3 linked regions of the Medicago truncatula genome follow. Each later gene encodes a partner of the first gene's protein in a complex. Links are inferred from orthologs where the notes say so. Each region holds a gene or a part of one and is shown on either strand. Other genes may lie near its edges.

What was found. Proteins that work in one complex are often made in the same cells at the same time.
Region 2: general transcription and DNA repair factor IIH helicase subunit XPD (region 1) and general transcription factor IIH subunit 2 share a complex: the UniProt entries of both Arabidopsis thaliana proteins name them as parts of the 7-subunit TFIIH core complex. The link is inferred for Medicago truncatula from reciprocal best matches to the Arabidopsis thaliana genes UVH6 and GTF2H2.
Region 3: general transcription and DNA repair factor IIH helicase subunit XPD (region 1) and general transcription and DNA repair factor IIH subunit TFB4 share a complex: the UniProt entries of both Arabidopsis thaliana proteins name them as parts of the 7-subunit TFIIH core complex. The link is inferred for Medicago truncatula from reciprocal best matches to the Arabidopsis thaliana genes UVH6 and AT1G18340.

Annotation. Positions count from the first base shown.
Region 1 is NC_053043.1:42,019,995-42,027,245, reverse strand, and holds the start of general transcription and DNA repair factor IIH helicase subunit XPD, read right to left. Parts: upstream 3,095-7,251; 5' UTR 2,940-3,094; intron 2,822-2,939; 5' UTR 2,773-2,821; coding exon 2,239-2,772; intron 488-2,238; coding exon 207-487; intron 1-206. UniProt on the Arabidopsis thaliana protein: ATP-dependent 5'-3' DNA helicase, component of the general transcription and DNA repair factor IIH (TFIIH) core complex, which is involved in general and transcription-coupled nucleotide excision repair (NER) of damaged DNA and, when complexed to CDK-activating kinase (CAK), involved in transcription by RNA polymerase II.
Region 2 is NC_053048.1:41,896,883-41,904,940, forward strand, and holds the start of general transcription factor IIH subunit 2, read right to left. Parts: upstream 3,047-8,058; 5' UTR 2,811-3,046; intron 2,685-2,810; exon of another isoform or gene 2,355-2,684; 5' UTR 2,278-2,354; intron 1,754-2,277; 5' UTR 1,676-1,753; intron 1,235-1,675; 5' UTR 1,188-1,234; coding exon 903-1,187; intron 466-902; coding exon 4-465; intron 1-3. UniProt on the Arabidopsis thaliana protein: Component of the general transcription and DNA repair factor IIH (TFIIH) core complex, which is involved in general and transcription-coupled nucleotide excision repair (NER) of damaged DNA and, when complexed to CAK, in RNA transcription by RNA polymerase II.
Region 3 is NC_053044.1:36,049,868-36,056,824, reverse strand, and holds the start of general transcription and DNA repair factor IIH subunit TFB4, read right to left. Parts: upstream 3,047-6,957; 5' UTR 2,838-3,046; coding exon 2,441-2,837; intron 2,240-2,440; coding exon 2,193-2,239; intron 1,542-2,192; coding exon 1,504-1,541; intron 1,419-1,503; coding exon 1,373-1,418; intron 1,211-1,372; coding exon 1,157-1,210; intron 1,049-1,156; coding exon 980-1,048; intron 1-979. Other genes in the region: lysM domain-containing GPI-anchored protein 1, read right to left, coding at 6,728-6,957. UniProt on the Arabidopsis thaliana protein: Component of the general transcription and DNA repair factor IIH (TFIIH) core complex, which is involved in general and transcription-coupled nucleotide excision repair (NER) of damaged DNA and, when complexed to CAK, in RNA transcription by RNA polymerase II.

The DNA.
Region 1 (7,251 bases):
CCAAATACTTCAATGAAAAATTAGACTTTAAGGGCTTTAGGTGAAAGAAAATTGGCGAGATTATAACATGCATAGTGAACAGAATTTATTGCAATCACTAGAACCCCCATTTTTTTACCTAATTATGCCCCCTTGTTCACTATTGAATTTGCCACTGCAAAATCTAAATCACAAAACAAGCGGAGAAAGCTAGAAACGACACATACTTGTCAATTTCTTGACGCATTCTATTTATATTTCTTCTAGCACCATCAACAGTCTGCCTCCTCACACTCACACTAAGTGCTTCGATACAAACATTATCAATATTATGAGCTTCATCAAATACAACAACTGATTCTTTCTGCATTTCCTTGGATATTATGGCAGCCACCTTTGGATCAAGCAAATATTGATAACTATAGACCACCACATTGGCAAACTGGACCATATGCCGCGCTAAAAAGTAAGGACACCACCCTTTCTCCTTCCCAAACGTTCTCAGATCCTACAATCACATACACATTCAGATTCAAACATTTTAAAAGGTCTGGTCATATCAAAATGCAAAACCATAGAACAACTAAAAATGAATAAAAATCAAAATTATGTCAACCTTTGAAAGTCTTAAATCTTAACACCAAGAAACAACCAAAACTGCTCAAAATCAGATTGTTCAGTCAAACCCACAAAAATTCCGGCATCTTGGAATCCAAGAACATCGGAAAGCAATCAAAATGGAAGTTTTCCAAAAATCACGCATATAGATACAAACATTTTAGAATAGGAAAACTCCAAAAACTATCTAAATCAAAATTTGAAAAGGCAAAGTGAATGAATTAATAATAAGACACCACACCAAACACAAGTGAGGCACGGTTGGTGCAAGCAAATACAAAGTCAAGCTAAACACAGCATTACCTCAAGCAGAAGCAAAACTTCTTGTAACCACAGAGTTCCAGAATAAAGACTGTGACAGCCATACTACACTCAAAGTTTGACCACTTTCAAATCAAGAAACATCTAAATCTCAAAATTTCAGTCATTTATGGTTTGAATTCAAACTGAACACCATAGTTGTCAATGCAGAAATGTGGCGCGGCGCGGCCAACCCAAAAATTGGTGCGGTGCAGTATTAATATAAATGAGAAGTTAAAGATAATTAACTGATTTTCACTAGTAACTAGCCAAAAAAAAGGGAAAGAAAAAGACTTAATGATCATTAAACAGTCCAAGTTGTAACCAAAAAAAAAAAGAAAAAAAGAAGTCCAAAGCAGAAATAGATTGATTGAGTCCACGTTATATCACTATGGGCCTAGCCCAATACTCTATATAAAAAGTGAAATAACCAAACCCAAGTTTTTTCTCCTCTTTCTATTCTATACAAACATAGCCGCCGCCAGCCACCATCCATCTGAACTCTAGATCTACGTCTCTTCAATCCTTCTTATTCTATAACCATTTTCTCTTCATCATCCGTCGGTTTTTCTTTATAGCTCTTCGCTTCTTCGAAGATACATTACTGCACTACTTTAGGTTGACAAAGGCAGAGAACCTGTCATTGAAGATGGTAGCGGACGCGTTGACACACGCTGCTTCGAATCGATACCCGCTATATCGGCCGTTGCGGCCGCTTCTCACTTTCGCACCGCTCCGACGCGGTTGGGAGCGCTGGGATCTAAAAGTCCACTACACGCCGCAATAGCAGGCGGCGCGGCTGCTATACTATGCTGAACACTCAGCCCCACCAGAAAAGAAGAAAAAAAAATCAAATCAAGCATTCCAAAATCAGTAAACATCATCAAAATCAACCACACTTCAAATTCAAACATTTAAGAATCAGAGAAAACAACATCCAAAACCGAACACTCGACTCCACTGAAAAAATATCAAATCAAACATTCCAAAATCAGCAAACATCATCAAAATCAACCACACTTCGAATTCAAACATTTAGAAATGAGAAAACAGTATCCATCAAACATTTAGAAATCAGAACACAGTCTCCAACACTGAACATTCAACCCCACTCACAAAAATCAAGCATTCCAGAATAACCTAACACCATAAAAATCAATATTTATTTTACTTCTATAAAAACTTTATACATTTAAGAATAGCATATCATCCAAAGGCTATAAAATTCGAGCATTTGAAAACAACCTAACATCGTAAAAAATCAATTTTTATAACTTTATAAAGATTACAAAATAATCAAAGCCTATAAAAATCCAACGAACAAAACTAAATTTGAAATACCTGCAAAGTATAAACACCAGGAGGCAAAACAGCAGCAGACCCAGCTCTTTCATACTGCTCAAAAAACTCACACGAAGGAACATCCGGATTCTCAGCAGCAAGCGCCCTAACCCAACTAGCAGTCAATTTCCTACACCCAGCATCAACCGAATCACGATTCTCAGCAGCAAGAACTTTATTATTAACACAAAGATTCTTCCTCGAAGACAATCCAAGCGCAAGCATCTTCGCAGACGGACCAATACATTTAACCATATAATCATGAAGCAGTCTCAATTCAGCTAAAGTCTTTTCCATCTCGTGAACGGTTCGAGTGCAATAAATAAGCTTGATTGGTGATTGAGGCTTTGAGAGTGTGTAGCTTGTGATTAGTGACAGTAAAGCTATGGTTTTTCCCGTTCCGGTCGGCATTTCAAGTAAACAATGTCCTTTTGCATCTAGGGTTCGTTTTAATTCAATCATGTATGCGTATTGTTCGGGGTATATGTTGTCATAGGGGAAATACACTGTTACTTCTTCGATTTTGAACTTCATTTTTTTGTTTCTTCTTCTACAATTCAGAAATATTGATCAAAATCGTAACCTAATTTCAGGAATGTAATGAAAAATGGAAATTTCAGAAACGTGATTCATATATAAGAAATCAGAAATCACGGAGATTGAAATGAGAAACGTGAAAAGGAAGAAAGAGAAGTACTTACCGGTACGGTGGCTTTGATGGATCCACACGGCGCGACGGTGAAATCGCGGCGGCGGAGGGTGAGAGATACGGTGCGAGATTAAGATTGGCGACGAAAGTGAGTGTGTTTTTTTGAGAGAAAGGTTAAGGTGATGAGAGTGAGAGGGTTTTTGAGAGTAAAAATAATCACTTTTTAAATCATGCAATTGTTTTAAGGTTTAAATGCATTTTTGATCCCCTATGTTTGCCGTCGTACTACGGTCGTAGCAATTTTGGCCCCCTAATTTTCGCAACTATGTTGAGAAGTCGCCATGTGTCCCAAAAAAGGGGGTCAAAGTCACAACATTTTTGCAAAGATAAGGGGTCAGAAGAGCATATTTTCCGAAACATGACAAAATTAGGGGGTTCAAATTGCATTTTTTTTGTTAGGGGGCCAAAATTGCTACGACGGCAAATATAGGGGGCCAAAAGTGCATTTAAGCCTTATAAACGTACCAAAATAATGATTCAAACATTCAGAATCAATAAATATTATTAATAACAATTTATAATTTTTGTGAAAAATAAAAAAAACAAATTTGAGGTTTCCTCGGTAGTTAACTGCAGCCGATTCCATAATTCGGCAGTTAACTGCCGAAGGGCATTTGGGTAAATTACTTGTGTCTCTCAGCCAATGCATATGTGTCAACCACAATTCTCATGATAAATTGTGACTTCTGAGTCAATCTTTTACCTGTCATAAAAATACACATGCCACAAAAATACTTTACTTACCGTAGATAGCAATAGTCATTACTTTTGAATCCATAAAATACTCTACAACGTGAAAGCTAATCTTGTTGGATGGGTAAAGCTCCTCAATAATCCTCCACAACTCGACAATAATTGCATTACATTACTCAAGTCTTTTTGCAAACACCATTCGTCGTGTGAATTGGATTTGACTCAGTAACCGCGTCACACAATTATTTGTAGTAGCTTTCCAATCTAAAAATGATGTTTGAGATCGTTTATAGTTGTTTTTGATAATACGTAATCTGAACCGTCTGATCTAAAATCAATAGATATGTGAAATTGTGTGCTTTTGTACAACATACAATCCAAATCCATTTGTCGTGAGGTCCTCGAAATACAACGCCACATTATCTGAGCCCTCCACCTTTACAAACATTGTCCATGTTGAATTTCATCTAACCCATGGGAGGAGGAATCCATTGCAACAAAACTTGAGATTCGAGAGCTAAATGCATGAGTTCCAATTGTCTTGCTCACCTCAACACATTCTCTAGTTAGTTTGAATGCTTGTACCCAAGATGACGTCGGATGTGTTGCGTTCTCGTTGTGATCCTCTCTATTAAGCCAAAGCCAAATATAATGACATGTCATTGCCCAAAACACATTCCAATTCACTTTATAACCTTAATTAGTTATAACCCACTATGATAAGTTGACTGAATAAAATTGATTTTGGAGTTGCATATGAACATGTAATGTCGACTCCACCTCACCTCTGCACTAGTAACATAAGGGATCTCATTAATTCATCCTTGTCGTTAAATTGTCCGTTAAGAGTCTAATGAGTAAAAACTCTTCCGATCAATTCATCAGATTCTATTGATTCGAATATTGATTCATCAGGTTGTTAGATTCTAAACTTTTTCAATCAGACTCAACCCAATTAATGCAAAACCTTTTTAAAAACAAAAATTTAGTTCAACTAATAATATATGTTGAAAATAATATTCAATATAAACATTATTTACCTATTCTTAAACCTTAAAAATAATTTGACCCAAGAAAATATATTTAAAGCGAAAAATAGTCGAGGGTCGAATAAGACCTAAAAAATTTAGGGGCCTAAAACCCTTACTTTAGCGACAACCCCTTAAACATCCTGTATCAACCAACACATGAACATCTGCAATGCTCCAGTTATGATTCCAAGCCTCCGGATCTTAACCATCACTTATAGATATAAATTTAAACCAAGCGAAATTTGGCCATAATCTAACCAACGATTTCCACAAGGTCGAATCTGTAGCTTTGGCTATCACAACATTTCCCACATTAGTACCCATGTCATATTTACCTTTCGTATCTTGATCTAACAAATATTGATAGTCATTTCACTTTGGTGTTTCTCCAATCAAAGGGACCCCAATATATTTCCCTAGAGGACTAGTCTATTGAAAACAAAATAGTTGAACTAAAACATGCATTGTATTTCTTTTAACATTTTTGGAAAACAGAATACTAGTCATCTATGTGCTTGGTATTTCTTTCAAAATTAGTTGTTTTAACTCTTTTACTTTTAACTTTTTTTTTGAGGGGTCTTTTACCTTTAACTTGAACACTATTGAAATTCCAAAATAATTTTTTTTACCCTCTTGTTAACAACAAACTCGGTAAACCGTTGATAGCTGGCTCGAACTAATCAATTCTCGATCCTCATGGGATCAATCTCTACGTTCATATTATTACTTGTTACAATTGTGTATACTTGCACATCACATTTTCACACAACATATGACACCTTATTGTACCGAAGAGGCATTTATAATAATGTTGATTATATGAATGATTCCTTGCAACTTCCCATGGGATAAAACCAATTTTATTAAAATTATTAAAGCATGAGGTGTTTTGCTTTTAAAGTGATAAAAAAGTTGTTTGTTAATTACATGCAAATTAAAGAGACAAAATATGGCTGAAATTCAAAAAATTGTTTATGCTTTCATCATCATGATTTCCGTAATTCTAGGTCAACATAGTAAGTCCATGTTCACACAAATTTCAATATTTCTTCTTTATCATATGAAAAATATTCCATCATCTTCTAGTAACATTCATGTACTCCTTTTAAAATACAGGTTTAATCCCCTGCAAAACTAATATGGATTGTGCAAAGGATGTATGTCTCAATTATAAATTTCCGACTTGTGTTGGGAAAAAATGTTACTGCTTGTCCGCGTAACAATTTATTTATACATAATTCTATGTTGCTTTTGATTAGCTTATAATTTGATGTGTCTGTCATAATGTTTTTACTATTATGAAATTCTCACACTTTGACTCATGCTTTTATGATATTTCAATTTCTTTTGATAAACTGAAAATCGTGTTGTTGTTATTATTATTATTATTATTATTATTATATATATTATCATGCAAGTATTGTTACCTTTGTTTGCTCGTAATAGATATCAAGAACAACAACTTCAATGAATAATTTCAATTAGTTAGTTTAATGAATAAATAGAAAATATGATATCATAGAGCTATATATTGTACTGTTATTTTAAATATATGATTGATGATATGCTTAAACTGAATAAATATTCATATGTATGTATTTAAAAAATTATTGAAATGAACTAAATCTTAATCATCATATTTTATAATAACAAATTGGTATATTCTTGCACTAAAAGAAAGCTTTAGGGAAAATGTATTTCATTTTAAATAGTAAAAGTAGGGTTTGAGTTCCACTTTGTATATGAAGAAAATTTGGTTGGAACGAAAGAATTTATCTTGTATCCCACATATTTATCGACGGATATTAATCACTATTAAATAACGATGAAAACTTCATATCAATATCATGGTAACTAAAAAAAATAGGGCTTGAGTCATATATATATATATATTTTTAATCCACATAGTTAAATAATAAGTACCAAATTGGTGGAGTTTTTTTTTAATGTAAGTTGTGAACTCATGATTAGTATGGAATTGGGTATTCCCACTAAATGCCTCTCTTGATATCATCAATTGATGTAATGTGATTGAATTATAAATTGGTACAAACCATAAACAAATAATCCTACTCTCATTAACTAAATATGGTCAAATATTATTCATTATACATAAATAAAAGCAAGAGAAATAAACACCGGAAGGACAGTTGAGTTGTAGTTCAAATTGTTTCTCTAAAAATCTTTCTGAATGATAAAGCAACTAATACTTCAGATTGGATGAAAATATTTGTCTTTAAAATTGTTGATAGTGTTTTTTTTATGCATTAGTTAAAAAAAATACAACAAAAATAAGGGATGAGAAAGAACCACACTTGAGAGTGTCTCCTGGTTGCACCTCAACTCAACCTATACTTCTACTTCTTAACAATGCCACTTGTGCTTGTTACGGAACACTTGCTTTCCCTCAACAAGCAAAATTTTTACAAAAATGAAATCAGTTTCAAGCTTGTTTACAAATGAAATCAGTTATTCTTTACAAATGAAGACTTTGAATACTAATTCGTGAGAGTCTTTACAATAAAACACTTTCATATAAATTTCAACAACATATTTTCTTCGTCATTGTTGATGTTATAC
Region 2 (8,058 bases), on another chromosome or scaffold:
AACCTCATCTAGTGCAACTGAATACGTTCCTCCAGTTTCTTGGCAAAGATGCTTGCATATAAACATTTCAGCAGCAAGACCAATGACCGAGCATCTTATTTTACTCTTTTTGCATTTTTGGATAGTTTCCATGAGATCACCAGGATCACATGTACTGAGGGCCGAATATAAAATCAGAACTTCTCGATGACCATATGATGGGATTTGATTTAGATTGCTATGAACAAGTTCTAGTGCATTTTGTAGGGAGGCATCACCTGAGCATTCTAGTTTACCCATCAAAGCTTTGATGTGTGACTCAGGACTGCCGCCAAGATCTGTCAAGCAATTAGCAACACCATCTTTGGTAGTCACCAAACCAACATGACTAAGTGGATTCTGATCAAAGAACTCCCTGATAAATAACTCAACCTGCTTTGCAATCACAGCCATTCTACTTGGTCGAAAGTCCCTCTCTGAAGCTGCCTTCACATGACGTAAGAAACTGAATTATGTTACAAGGCAAGAAATTCGAAAGACATATATGTTATTAAGTGTTAATACTGATATTGAATAAGATACTGGTAATTGTAGGATCATAAGCAATTTCATATATAATTACAGGTATAAGAACTGCTCTTCATGAAAATCAGTGTGACTATGATTAGCTATTAAGTGCTAGCTTATTGAACAAGTTAGATGTACTTCTAAAGGAAAAGGATAAAATTCAAAAAACATTTGCAAAAGGAAATATAGATAAGACAATGGAAGAAAATTAAGTAAATTTAACTGCCATTGATTTGTGAAGTGTTCCAACATACCCATCCTCTAATTGAACCCCAATTTTCAAGTAATCAATACAATGGTCTATGACAAATGACTTAGACACAAACACAAAAATTATAAATTAATAAAACCAATACCTTGGACAGGTCCACAACAATGTATAAGTATCGTATCAAACCCTTTTGAATTCGCGCAGTAGCTGCATTTGAAGCAAGGGCGCGGAGGCGTCTACGATACTGGGCATGATGAATGGCTGTCGTATCTATGGGACGAAGAAGTCCAGATTCATCTTCCTGCAAAGACTCCCATGATCTATCTTCTGTATAAGCTCTCTCCCACGCTTCAAGGCCATCATCATTAGCTTCATCTTCATCATCATCCTCTAAATCTCCATTAAGCGGTTTCCCAGCAATGTTATTCATGATTTCTTGCCGAAAAGATGCAGTAGTTAATTAACCAAGTGATGAAGCTGCAACGGTAAATGAATTATTTTATCATATATAATTCAATAAAGATAATTTTGGAACACTAAATGAAATGTACAGAAACATCAGCACTTATAAGATCATGAAAACAAAAACTGTAATGATTTAAACATAATGTATAATTAAAAAAGCGAGGTGTTTATTATTGGGAAAGTAACTAAATTATGATGATCAATTGCGGCACACCATAATCATACTCTCGTTAAGGCATTTAATCAAACAGGTTGAGTGTACAAAAGGAAATAGGAAAATAGCAAGTTCAAACTACTTGTACACTAAACCTGTTTGATTAAATGTCGTAACCATTGTTAATTAGATTAGATATTGATAAGCCTTTTTTCACTATCTACTTGGTATCGCGAATTAGGGATTGGATTTGGAAATTTTATTGTTGAGAATGAGATGCTTAGGATTAAAAGCCGTACCTCAACGGTGGTCGGAGAAGCTGAGTAGCAGCACACCAAATCAAAGGGGACACGTTGACAGCAGTGGCGGAGCCAGACCTAAAATTTTGGGGTGGCAGCTTTAAAAATAAACTAAAATATATAAATCATATAATATACAATACGACCCATTTCGGTGTCGTTCATAAAAAATTTCAACAAAATAATACTAAAAACCGATCATCATATTCAAAGTGATGCTTTACGCATCCCGACTTTTCATCTTAACTTTTCCTGTTGAAACAGTTTCAAAATCAACTAACAATACATGGTTTCAATGTTACATCAATTCTAATAACATTCAAATTTCATAACAATAGCCGGTTTCAATTTCATTGAAATAACATAAATGATTTCAAAATGAACCAATTTCACTTGATTTTCATAAACAGAAGACGATGATAGCTGAATTCAAAAGTTGAGCCAGGTTTGATAGATCTTTCTGATGGAAAATGCCATAAATGTTGCTACTTTTCATGACAAGTTGCTAGGACATGCTAGTCATATACAGAAAAACCAAACACTATCAAAAATAGAGGAAGATTAGCTCATCTAGGCATGCTAGAAGTTGAAGATATGCTTACATTTTTTTGAATCAAATAAGCTTACATTTTCCATCTTTTCCACCTCTACTATTTAGGATTATTGATTACGTCCTCCTCTCAAAGTCATTGCCATACATGATTAAAATTGGCAAAGGAAGTAAGTTAACTTTTCTTAATTACCTATAGTAACTCTAAAACAATTTGACTAGTTATCAGGCTTTCATATTCTACTATTGTTTGACAATTATTTAAAACCGAGGCTTTCAATTGGAATTCGTCTCTCACACTCAATACAATTATTTAAACACAAGTAACAGTTCAGTAGCAATCAGAGTTCATGTTCTAAACCATAATAATAAGCAGAACATTCATGTCTTCTGTAGTAATCAGTAGCAATCGAAAACTAAAAAAATTCAATTTCACATTCAATTTCACATCACTAAATCATTAAAGACACATACACAATTACAAATCATTACCAGAATATTACATTCAATTTCACATTACTCAAGAACATGTAATTATCAAATCAGAATCAGGATTGAAGGAAATTACATTCAATTTCACATTACCTTACAAGTTACAACAATTAGGGTTTGTGGAGAGAGATGGATGGAGATAGCTCTCTAAACTAAAGAATCAATACAGAAGATTGAGGGGGGGTGCGGCGGTGATGGATGGAGAAGGAGAAGAGTGGTCGCGGCCCGCCGGCAGTGGTGTGGTGGTGGATGTTGTTCGGTGGTTTTGCTTTCGCTGGGAGAAGAAAAAAGAGGAACGCGCATCAGATGAAAGAGAAAGGGGAAAAGGAAATGAAATTGAATTGGTAATATTCATATTAGTTAAGGGCATTATAGTAATTTCCAGTGTCATTGAAAAACAAGAAAAGCTTGTTTTAACTTATTTTTTATTGAAAAAGATGCTGCTTTTTCACATTTTAAATCCTAGCCTTTGATTAATTTTTTTCCACGTGTCACTCATCTATCAAAGGAATTGGGAAATTGTGCTCCATCCGTCTCAAAATAAGTAAGTCATTTGCTCATTTGGCTGTTGTACGCGTACTTCTTATGGATAGTTCGTGAAGGCACAACCAAGATGGCAGCAATCACATATGACAGTTCTTGAAGGTGAGGCAATGGCGCTATTAGAAATCATATGGTTTGCAGAACAAAACGGATGGGAAAAAGTTGTTTTCAAGTCTGATTCGGCTACGGTGGTGAATGCCTTGTCGTCCCATCGTCGCGGTGATTCTAAATTTTAGGCTATTATTTCTTGTATTATTGCTAAGTTAGTTTTACATTCCAATTTCAAGTTGAAGTTTATTAGGAGACAAGCAAATATGGTCGCTCGTACTTTAGCTAGGGCGACCTATTCTTCGGCTAGTCGCCGTGTTTTTGAGTTCTATCCTCCATGTATTGAACAATATGTAATTAATGATATTAGTTGATTTTGCTTCGGTAAAAAAAGTGCCATTGTCAAATATTTGTGCATTTGTTGTGATCATAAAAGCAAAGTGAAAAATATTGAATTGAGAGTGATGAAATTAGTATTAATTATAGTGATGAAATTGTCACTTGACCCACTTGTTCGAAATATTAATAGAATATAACATAGATTTCGAATAGTAAGAAAAAAATATAAGAGAGTTTTGAAGTGTGTGGTCAAAACTATTACCTTTAAAGTAAATTTTCGATGGACCTCCGATGCAACTTAATATTCAATTTTGCTCCTCAAGATTTACACATCTTTGTGTTTGAACATGTGCACTCAAAGTGTAAACACATTGGAGCTTCGCAAACTGTTATGATACATGACATCCATGGAATGAGAATGAATATTATTGCAAATGAGAAAGTTATCGAGTGGTTACAAGCTATTTATGCTATAATCTACTATGACTAATATGGAACTATTTATCCTCCAAATTGGAGAACAACCAATGGCTGAAAGATGCTTGAATCCATCCATTTGATAGCCTCTAAACCATAATCCAAAACACGGCAGAAGCAGCAACAAATTTTTCTGATGCTCCCTTCCACAGACAAGAGGATTCAAATACATGGTTGAATTGGACAAATAGTTGTTGCAATACACACCACTAACAGAAAGGTAATATAAACTCCAAGACTATAGAAAAGTTATCCGAGAGTGGTTCCCGGAGAAGAGTTGATAAACTTCATATTTTTAATTTTTGTTGTCTTTCTCATACTATGAATTTGAGTTAGCCGATTGAATAACATTATAAGTAGTTCATATAAGCTTAGTAAATGGGAAAAAGAAATTTCTCAGTAAGTGTATAGTTCTGGCTAACTTCTGAATCTCAATCATCCAGTTATAGTGATGAGTTTCGTCCAAATTTCAACTTATATCAATCTCAGTTATTTATAGTTATACACGATGGGTCACCTTAAACCATCCTCATGCTATCATATAATAAACATGGAACAAATTAATATAATTTAGGCTAAAATATGGTTTTAGTCCCTGCAAATATGCCTCGTTTTGATTTTAGTCCCTGGTAAAAAAAAAATTTTGTTTTTGGTCCCTGCAAAATTTTTTGTTTTTGAAAATAGTTTTTCAAAAACAAAAAATTTTGGGAGGGACTATTTTCAAAAACAAAAAATTTTGCAGGGACCAAAAACTACAAAATTGGTTCAGTTATAATGTGCCACGTATGCAAATCATCACAAAAGTGGGGTCAGGAACTATTTTCAAAAACAAAAAATTTTGCAGGGACCAAAAACAAAAATTTTTTTTACCAGGGACTAAAATCAAAACGAGGCATATTTGCAGGGACTAAAACCATATTTTAGCCTATAATTTAACATCCAAATCAAAATTTTAGAACGAAAAAAGTGACGGATACCATTCTCAAACACAAAAGCTATACAATTCTATTCTATACCAAGAGAAACGAATCCATGCAATAATCTACTACTAAGGGTGTGTTTGTTTCAGAGGGATAATTTTGAGTTAAAATGACTCTAAATCACTCTTCAATGTATCAAGAAAAAAAATGGTGACAGCTAGATTTGTTAAGGAGAAAAGAGAGAAAGGTATAAATTACTATTATTAGAGAAGTGATGTTTTTTACGAAGACGAAAATTAAGAATCAAACGCATTGATGTTTTAAAGAAATGGAAAACTGATTAGTCCGAATTTGGTGGACATCACAGTTGTGTATTGATGAAAATGAACGACAAACAAGAAGTCGTAGTTTTTCTCGATTATCACTCACCTTAGATTATCTACAACAGAGCATCTTAAACTGAGTGCTTAAATTAATTTTATATGTTAGACATCACTTATTTTATGGTAATACTTAATAAACACTCATTTTCTCCAACCCATCACCTTAAAAGAAATTACTAAATAGGTCCTATGAATTATTTTATATAATTACATTTCAACAAAATTTATTTATTTTATTAAGATTTATTAAAAGAGACCCATAAAAAATGAAGAGAGAGAGGGTGCTTCCATAGCCACCATTCTCTATAGCCATCCATATATTATACTCCACAATGAGGGTGCCTATTTAATATGGTGCTAAATAGATGAAACACCCACCATTGTGGATAGTCTTACTTTTATACTATATATAACTACTTACCAACTAAGCATCCTACCCTATTTTTGAATTTACCGTATATTCTAGTTAGACTATTTATTATACTCCACAATGAGGGTGCCTATTTAATATGGTGCTAAATAGATGAAGCACCCACCATTGTGGATAGTCTTACTTTTATACTATATATAACTACTTACCAACTAAGCATCCTACCCTATTTTTGAATTTACCGTATATTCTAGTTAGACTATTTATTATTATCTTCCTCTGACAATAATGTCTTATTTGAGTTTTACACAGTTATTAAAGAAATAATTAATAATGTTGATTTTAATGGTAAATTATCATCTACTAAAACATCTTATAATTATAGTTAGTCGAATAGCTATAGATGATTGAAATGTAATAAATAAGAGTATGTTAGTGGAAAAACGTAATAAATGTTGTATTGATATTGCAAAAGGGACAAATAATCTAAGACAAGTTTTTTAAAAAAGATAACACATATTATGAGATGGAGGGAAAACTTTATATCCCTTTTCAATACCTTTACTCATTATCTTGTTCGATCATGTAAACATACATTCTCTTCGTGAATATAGGAAGTTAATCAACATTTGATGAAAGACCCAAACAATCCTTTCATTTCACTTTATTATTGTCATCATATTTCATTTCACTTTAAATATGTTGATTGAAGGCTTTAGGGTATTGAAATGGGATCTACAAGGAAGAAAGTTGGATTTGTGTTTTCTCTACATTTTCTCTATTTCTTTTTCTCTTATGTCTCTCAGTTCTCTATCTGATTCAACATTTTTTGCCTCGCTTTTTTGGTTCACTCCATTTCCTCTAATTTATACTAAAAATATTAGCTAAAGTGTGAGGAAAATGCCAAAATCAAGGCAGGTGGACTTGTAACAGAATGTATGCAGTGTTGAAATTGCAAGGTAACATGTTGGTTAGGAGACCAAATTGCAAATGCAGTGTTACAGTTACAAATTTGCAGCAACTGAGATGCTTAAGTATTTTCATAAAAATGGAAAAAGAAAAAAGTTAGTAAAAAAGAAGTTTCGGAGCGATGCTGAAAATGTAACGAGATCGACACTTTATTTTTAATTTGTTATCAACATCCAACAGATCGACACTTTATCCGTAAAGTTTAAAAATAATCACACTTGATATAAAATTGTCTTCTCATGTCTCTATTTTACTATGGATATTACCTAAATCACATCAATATGTTACGACATACATTGCACTTATAATGACACTAAACTTAACAAACTTAAAAATAATTTAAGACTCAAGTAAATAATTAATCTGTTGAACTTATTCATGATTCGAAATTAGTCGAATGTGAGCTTAAAATTGAGCTAGTTAAATAAATGAATTCATAGTAAACTTGAAATTAATTGGATCAAAAAAATTGGGTACAACTTTTGGATTATGGTTTGCTTGTTTGTTTGATATGCATGTAGAATGACATTGTATGAACAAGTTTGATATCCGTGGGACATTAAAGCGAGGGAGGGATCGTTCGTTTCTTCAATTCAATTGATAGTTTGATACCAAAACATAGTACAAGGAGGCCTTTTTATAGGATAATGTACTTAACAATTAGGGTAGGAGCTTGTTAATATTTTTTCTTAATGAACAAGTATTATGATTTTGACTACTTCTCAATTCTTCAAAGTAGTTCTTGTTCCAAGTTCCAACATGGTTGTAGTTGAAGTAATGGATTTGCAATGTTTAGACGTTGCCTATGTTTTTTTTTTTACCTCAATTAAACTGGTTTTTTTTCTTTGATGTGTAAAAATCGTGGTAATCCATATAACAGATTGCGTATTCTTAGAGTGTGTTTTAGATACACTCTTGTAAATGTGCTCAAATGAAGTAATAAAAATAGCTTATGACATATACTCACTTTCAATATATAAGCTCTTATTATGCAAGCTCTTTACACAAACACACTTTTAGTCGCTTGTCATTTGACTCACTTTCGCCGTGGAGATACTTCTTAGATATTTGCTCATGGTTCCTATAAAGAAATCGTGTTTGTTTCTGTAACATTTGATTTTAGACAGTAAAATACTGCTCAACCTTTATGTTGCTAACATTGAGCATTTGTTATACTTGTGTCCTTCATATATGGTAATAACAAACCTTTTTAATTTGGGATTTTATGTCTTGAAGTTGTTAACAGTTATTTCTTTATCAAGACTGTATGAAAGTTCTCTGGAAGTGGTGGT
Region 3 (6,957 bases), on another chromosome or scaffold:
TATATGAGTTTTATGAATTTTGTATAATATGATGATTAGATTAGTGTTACAAATCCACGATTTATGATTTTACTTCCCCTTCCGATTTTGCGTAAAATCTAAATTTTAACTACCTTGACTAGGAGCTACATGGTACATGCAAAAATGAGCTCGATGGTTTTGAATACTTTTTCCTACATTTTATGTTGACCCAAAAAGGATTCCAACATGCAGTTTGTACCACATGCATACCAACTTATCTGGAAGTGCAACCATGAAAAAGTAAGCTAAAATCCCACACACCAATAATGAAAAAACAAATTGTCCATCTTGAAGTACTATCAAATAGAGATTTGACAATAATTTAATGACTTATTTGTTGAATAGCTGTTAGGTTCGCTTTTCGAATTTAAACTAATTTTATGTCAAACAACTTATAGGGAAGGAAGACACATTGTAACACTAAAAGAACATTTAATTCATTTTTCTTGTGTATTCTAAAGGCATTCAGGTTCACAGCCTTTTCGTAACGACGGTATTGGAAGTTAATTATAAACTACTGAGACCTTGATAAGAAGAGTTTGCCATCTTAAAGCAAAGTATGAGGTGGCTCTGTCATTACCTTGTTCTCTACTGGTGTATATAACTAAGACATCAGTTTGTGAACAGAGAAAACTAGTATCAGCATTATCTATTTTGTCTTGCACCGCCATAGGGGTTTCTATACCACAGTTATTTTGAAGTCTTATGTTTTAGAGGTAAACTGATTCCAAAAATATTTTATTATAAGCAAGGCTAAGGCTACAAAACAAATCTAGTGTTTAGTGAGAGCATTCGATGAATGTTAATATGAACTTAAACCACGGTAATTTAATTGTAATACTAATATATACTCGTTTAAAAATGTATTCAAGTCCTGGGGCGAACGAGTCAATTAAGACAGAATTACTGAAAGATACTGAAAAGGCAGTCAAATGCGCCAATTAAAACACAAACTTACTGAAAGATATTGAAAAAGCCCTTCCATTTGGGGAGGCCTGTAATATATGCCACCAGTTATGTATGAAGCCTGCCATACATAATATAGAGATAAAGGACAAGAGTCAATAAAACATATTCTGCAGTACCTACTCATTAAGTGTGTAGGTGTGTCAGTGTGTTTGTTTAATTTAACTACCTGTTGAAGGAATGCAGAATTGTTTGAACCAATAAAACAAGAATCTACAGGAACCTGCATTGCCAAAATAATACACTAAGTAACCAACATAAAAACAAGCAATCCTTCTGTGTTATTATATAAATATATGTTGTTGAAGTCACAGGCAGTAAAAAGCCAGGGTAGAAACCAATCATAAAGGAACAATGAAAGAAAAAATTAAGATTGAGTACATACTACAGAACGCTGAGCAGAGAATATTGCATTCATGATTGCCACATACCTGAAAAGGATGGAAAGTGTGATTTGAAGTGAAACAAAAATGCAGAAATTAAGAGTATAAAATGTAAAGATCATGAGGTATGTACTGTTCTGGTCCATCAGTAGATCCTTGTAGACATAGAATCTGTTCACAAATAAGTAAATAAATAAAGTAATTATCCAAAATATGTAAACTATAAATGAACTGTAAAAAAAATGAAGTCAAATATAAATTCACAAAAAAAAAAAAAAGAATAGCTGGAAATACTAACAATGACGATTTTTATAAAAAGAACAGCTGCCTATATATTAATTTAAAAACAAAGATGGCCAATCATATGACTTATGAGCGAATTGGAATGTGTTTAGCAATCGTGTACTTGATACTCCGATTTAAACCAATTCAAAATCAACCAGATGTCAATAACCATATATCTTGGATCAAACCAATAACCATATTTTGTTTGTTAACACTAACAAGTGAAGTAAAAAACTTGTAGATACGAGACTGAACACAATACATAGCATTTTAACAATAGTCATTCAGCTTTCATTCAAAAATGTGTTCAAAAAACCAAAACACCACAATATCAACTTTCATTCGACAAACTTGAATGAACATCATTTTAACAATAGTCATTCAGCTCTAATATCACTACTATCAACCCACATTAACACAATAAAATACTTAAGTCAATCATATTTGACAAACATATCCAACTACAGTTATCACATTCAAGTGTACTATAAAATTCCATACAAAAACAAATTGATGATTAGGCAAAGACATACATACCCGAGGCTGAGGATGCATGGGTCCTGAACGAAAAGCTCTCTGTATATCTAATAACGAAATCAGGTCAAACAAAAATTTCATGGATGCATTACAGATTCAAATTCAACATAATTTGTAGTTCAATTTCAATTTTCAACAAAAGCAATAATAAAACAAATTGAAAACCCTAACAATTAAAAAGAGTGTGTAATTTCATGAAAAATCAGTAACCAAAGTGAATAAACATAATGAAAAAGAAAAAAGGATACAACAAAGTGCCATGGACAATGCTCCAGATAAGAGTGAAGAAGGAATGGTTCCAGGTTTATGATGAGGCGTAGTCAATTGCTGATCCTTAGCGACGAATTCATCGAGATTATGAAGAAGATTGGAATAAATGGCAGGCATTGTACCGTTGGTGGAAGCATGATTCTTATCAGAAGCGGAATCGTAAACGTAGGAACAAGAATTGCATCCGGTGGCGATAACTACGACTTGGTTGAGTTGGCCGAGGAGGAGTATTGAATTGAGAAACGCCAGAACTTGAGAGAGGAATTCGGAGAAGTGAAAGGGGAAAGAAGACCAGAAGAAAGGGTTGGTGTCGAGTGTGACGACGAGGAGGCTGACGTCATCTGCGTAATTCTTTGAAGGAGCTGAAGTAGTCATCGTGTGTTTTGTGTCTGCGTTTGGCTCAATTGATTCTCGATTTCATATTTTCTTTACCAAACTCATCTTCCCTTGTTACCCTTTATGTAAGTGTGTTGAAAATAAGGAAAGAAGCCTTCGAAGGTTTTCAGTCAGAAATCCTTGCTTACACAGTTGCAGGGAAGATATCGGTTGCTCAGGTTACTTTCTTTGGGTGCACTTCTAAATACTCTTTGATTCTTATACTATGCCTAAAAATAGTGAACAGTGTTTTTTTCTTTTTATAAAATTTTAATTTTAATGTAAATATTTTTAGCTTTTAAATTATAATAAATCAAACTAATCATGGTTATCTATTTTGATGAAACCGACAATATAACAAAAAATATATAATTTAAATTCTTATTTTTTGAATGATACCAACAACAATTTTTATTATAGAGAAAATTTGTTGTTTAAGGGTATAATTGAGATAATGAAAAAAGTAAGGATATATACACTCATCTAGTTTATTACACTTTTATTTTAATATTTAAATTTATTCTTATCTAATTGTTACATGTGTTATTTGTATTGAAAATTGAGGGTATTTTGAAAAGAAAAAATCAACCTAAAAGAGCTGAAATGAGTTATTCTCTTTATATATAGTAGGCTTAAATATGTAAAAGGTCTCTGTAAGTTCGCGTGTTTTTTATTTTCATCCCTGTAACTTTTTTTTTGTTCTAAAACAAACCTTGTAAGTTGTTAACTTTTTAGTTTTAGTTCATAACGTAAACTTCCGTTAAAAAAACGTGTTGCTGGCAAACGAAAATACACGTGGCGAAGGCTGAGTTGGCGTTAGTGGCTTACGTGGCCTGACAGATGATGATAAGTGACTAGTTTTTAGGGTCCAAAACCAAAAACATAGCACCTTCAAAAACATGTACATCTGCACACATGTACTTTTGGGCATACCTTCTCTTTGCAAAGCATCTCATAATTTCTCCCAGTGTCCTTGTGGGTTTTATCATTTCCATTTTTGGTTGGATCTTTCCATTTTTATCAATGAAGGCAAGAGTGCCATGTTCCATTTCCCGTACAATAATGGTCTATAATTTCTTATTGATAACTTGTTAGATAGGAGTAACATGCTTTGAAAAGGAGCATCAGCCTGCCATTTTCATCATTTTCTCTTGTTGTTTCAAAGCATGAAAGTGAAATGGTCCATCTTGATCATATGTGAACGAACATGTTTAAGAAATGAGATTTTGTTGATGAGAACAATGCCACTATAGAATCAGACATTATTGATGAGAACATTCTAGGGAGATGAAGAAATTGGTAGGGAGAACAACAAGAGAAAACAAATGGATGAAGACGATCTAATTTTTAAATTTCAAAATTTGGTGTTTACATTATTTCAATTTCGTCCCTCTGTAAATTTGCGTTTTTGATTTTGGTCCCTAAAAAATAGTCACTTATCATCTGTCAGGCCACGTAAGCCACTAACGCCAACTCAGCCTTCGCCATGCGTGTTTCCGTTTGCCAGCAACGCATTTTTTGAACAGAAGTTAACGTTAGGGACTAAAACCAAAAAGTTAACAAACTTACAGAGTTTGTTTTCGAACAAAAAAAGTTACAGGGACGAAAACAAAAAACACGCGAACTTACAGGGACCTTTTACATATTTAAGCCTATATAGTATAGATAATAATCAATTGGTAAAAAAAAAAAATTAAAACTAACTCCTTAAATGGTGGATTCCAGGGTGAACCATCAAATAAGTGATTCACCGGTGGACCATTTTGAGCAATAGTTGAGAGCCATTGGATTCATCGCACTCGTAAATTCTACCATACACCACCTACACTAGATCATTTTTTCCCTCTTCCTCCCTCTCGCTGGCTTCATCCTTCCACTTTTCCATTAATGGTACCTCACCAACTATTTCACATTCTTGTTTCCCAACAATAAAAAACACACACATAAAATATATTTCTTCTTTTTCATCTTCTAATTTCAGACAATATAATTCTTATTCACCCCGTATCCAACATTTTTGTTTCCTTATTGTATTCAGAAGGGTTACGTGACTTATTGCATCAACCTAATTCCTTTTATTGTCATTTCAAACTATGAATTGAGTTTTCTCTTTCAATCAAAACCAAATCCGAGAAAGGGTGTTCATAGATTTTGAATTGGAGGGGTGAAGTAAAAGGAGATTTTTTTTATAAGGAAACGGTGGTTTTTAAATGAACAAGGATAGTGTGCAGAAGTATACTTATGTTCTCATTTTTTTTGTCTAACATATCTAAACCTTTAATTTAAATCGAATGGTGTACAAAAGTGATCCGTCGGTGAACCACTTAGTTGATGGTTCACCCTAGAATCCACCCCTATAAATTATTATTTTGTTAAAACGAATTTATGAAATTACTTAGTACAAAATGTTGATGTCTTGTGAAGTTAATTAATAGATTTTTGATAAGTCATTTGTGCTAAGAAAATACTCAAGACAATTTAGAGTATGTTCGTTTGGAGATTTTTGGAGAGGAAAAGATATTTTAAATGAAATTTGGCTGGTTCAAGTTGTTTAAGAGTGAAAGGGAGGGAATTAAGAGTAATTGTTGTTGTCAACTGAACTAAGCTAACGAGGACAAGAAGAATGGGAATGTTAAAACATAAATTATTATATTAACAAAATTACCCTCAATTTCTTTAATCTTATATTATCCTCCCTAATACATTTGGTGCTTACCTCTTCATCTTTATTTATATTTTGCTTCAGGATGTGAATTTTTTAGTACAAGTGGTGGCTTGTATTTTGAGTTGCGGTGTTGTTCCACGTTGGGATGTCTTGTCATAACTTCATATCCTCTAATAAAAAAAAAATGATGGATGGATGGTCAAAAATAACTGACGTGCTAAACTGGAGAACATATTTGTCTATATGCAAAATTTGTAAACAAAATTGAACAATTTTTAAAATTTCGTTGAACAAATTGGCTCATTTACTCATCAAATTAGAGACAAAGAGGCTTAAACCAAATACTCTAGGTATAAATAACTGAAGTACTTGTGTATTTCTGGGTATGTTGTGATGCTATTTCAAACAATATGCTCTCTAGTTAGATTCCATCTCATGCTATAATAATTGAAGAATTTACAGCCTATGTGGGAGTAACGCAAAATGAATAATTCAACTGCTAGTAGGAATAGGAGGGGATATTATATAAACCTTTTTCATCCTTCACCAAATTAAACTAACAAAACTCAGAAAGAGAAAATTCTACACAATATTAGCCTCTTTCATTTTCTATTGCCTTCACATAATAAACCAAAAAAGGAATATAATTATAATTAAAAAACTATCTGTATTAGGTCGACACTGATTAGGCTGCACTCCTAAATTGGACAAAGCAACAGAAAATTGTTGCGCAATAAGCTATTTAAGATTTGATAATAACCAAGAAAAATAAATTCTACCAAAACAAGCATTAGAAAAGGAAGAAATACTCCCTAAAAAAAAGAGGAAGAAATACTAGAACACAGTTGAGAAACATATTAACATGATTACCTCCACCACCAGGCTTCGCTTACCTCTCGGCTGAACTCTGGATTACCAAGGGAATCAGAGGGTTGACACAAAAGACATAAATGATTACAAAGTGTGCACAATGGCGCCACCATCAATTTCTTGGAACTTCTATGAATGAATGATAACAGATTACACCTAGAATTACTGACCCTAGATGAACAAAATAGTTCAGCAAGACACAAAGTAATAAAAGGCTAAGCGTAAGTTTAAACCCGAAATCCCATAGTTTTCCAGATTCACAATCAGTTAAAAAGTACAAACGAATACTAGCAACTACAATAGATAGGAGCACCTGTGGCAAAGACATAATTAAACCCACCACAAAATTGGAAGATTACAATGCTACAGGGATCATCAACTTGACAAATAATAACACAAGGGTGAGTGTCAAAGTGGGTAATGGTTTCACCAAGGAGCATGCGGCAGAAGCACCAGAAGAAATTCCACTAGGGCCTAATGCAGGAGTAAATCCTGTTGAAGGCACCACTGAGGATTTGGGCGATCTCCCATCAGTTCCGTCGAACAGTGATGATGGTGACGGGGCCGGTGCAAATAATGATTCTC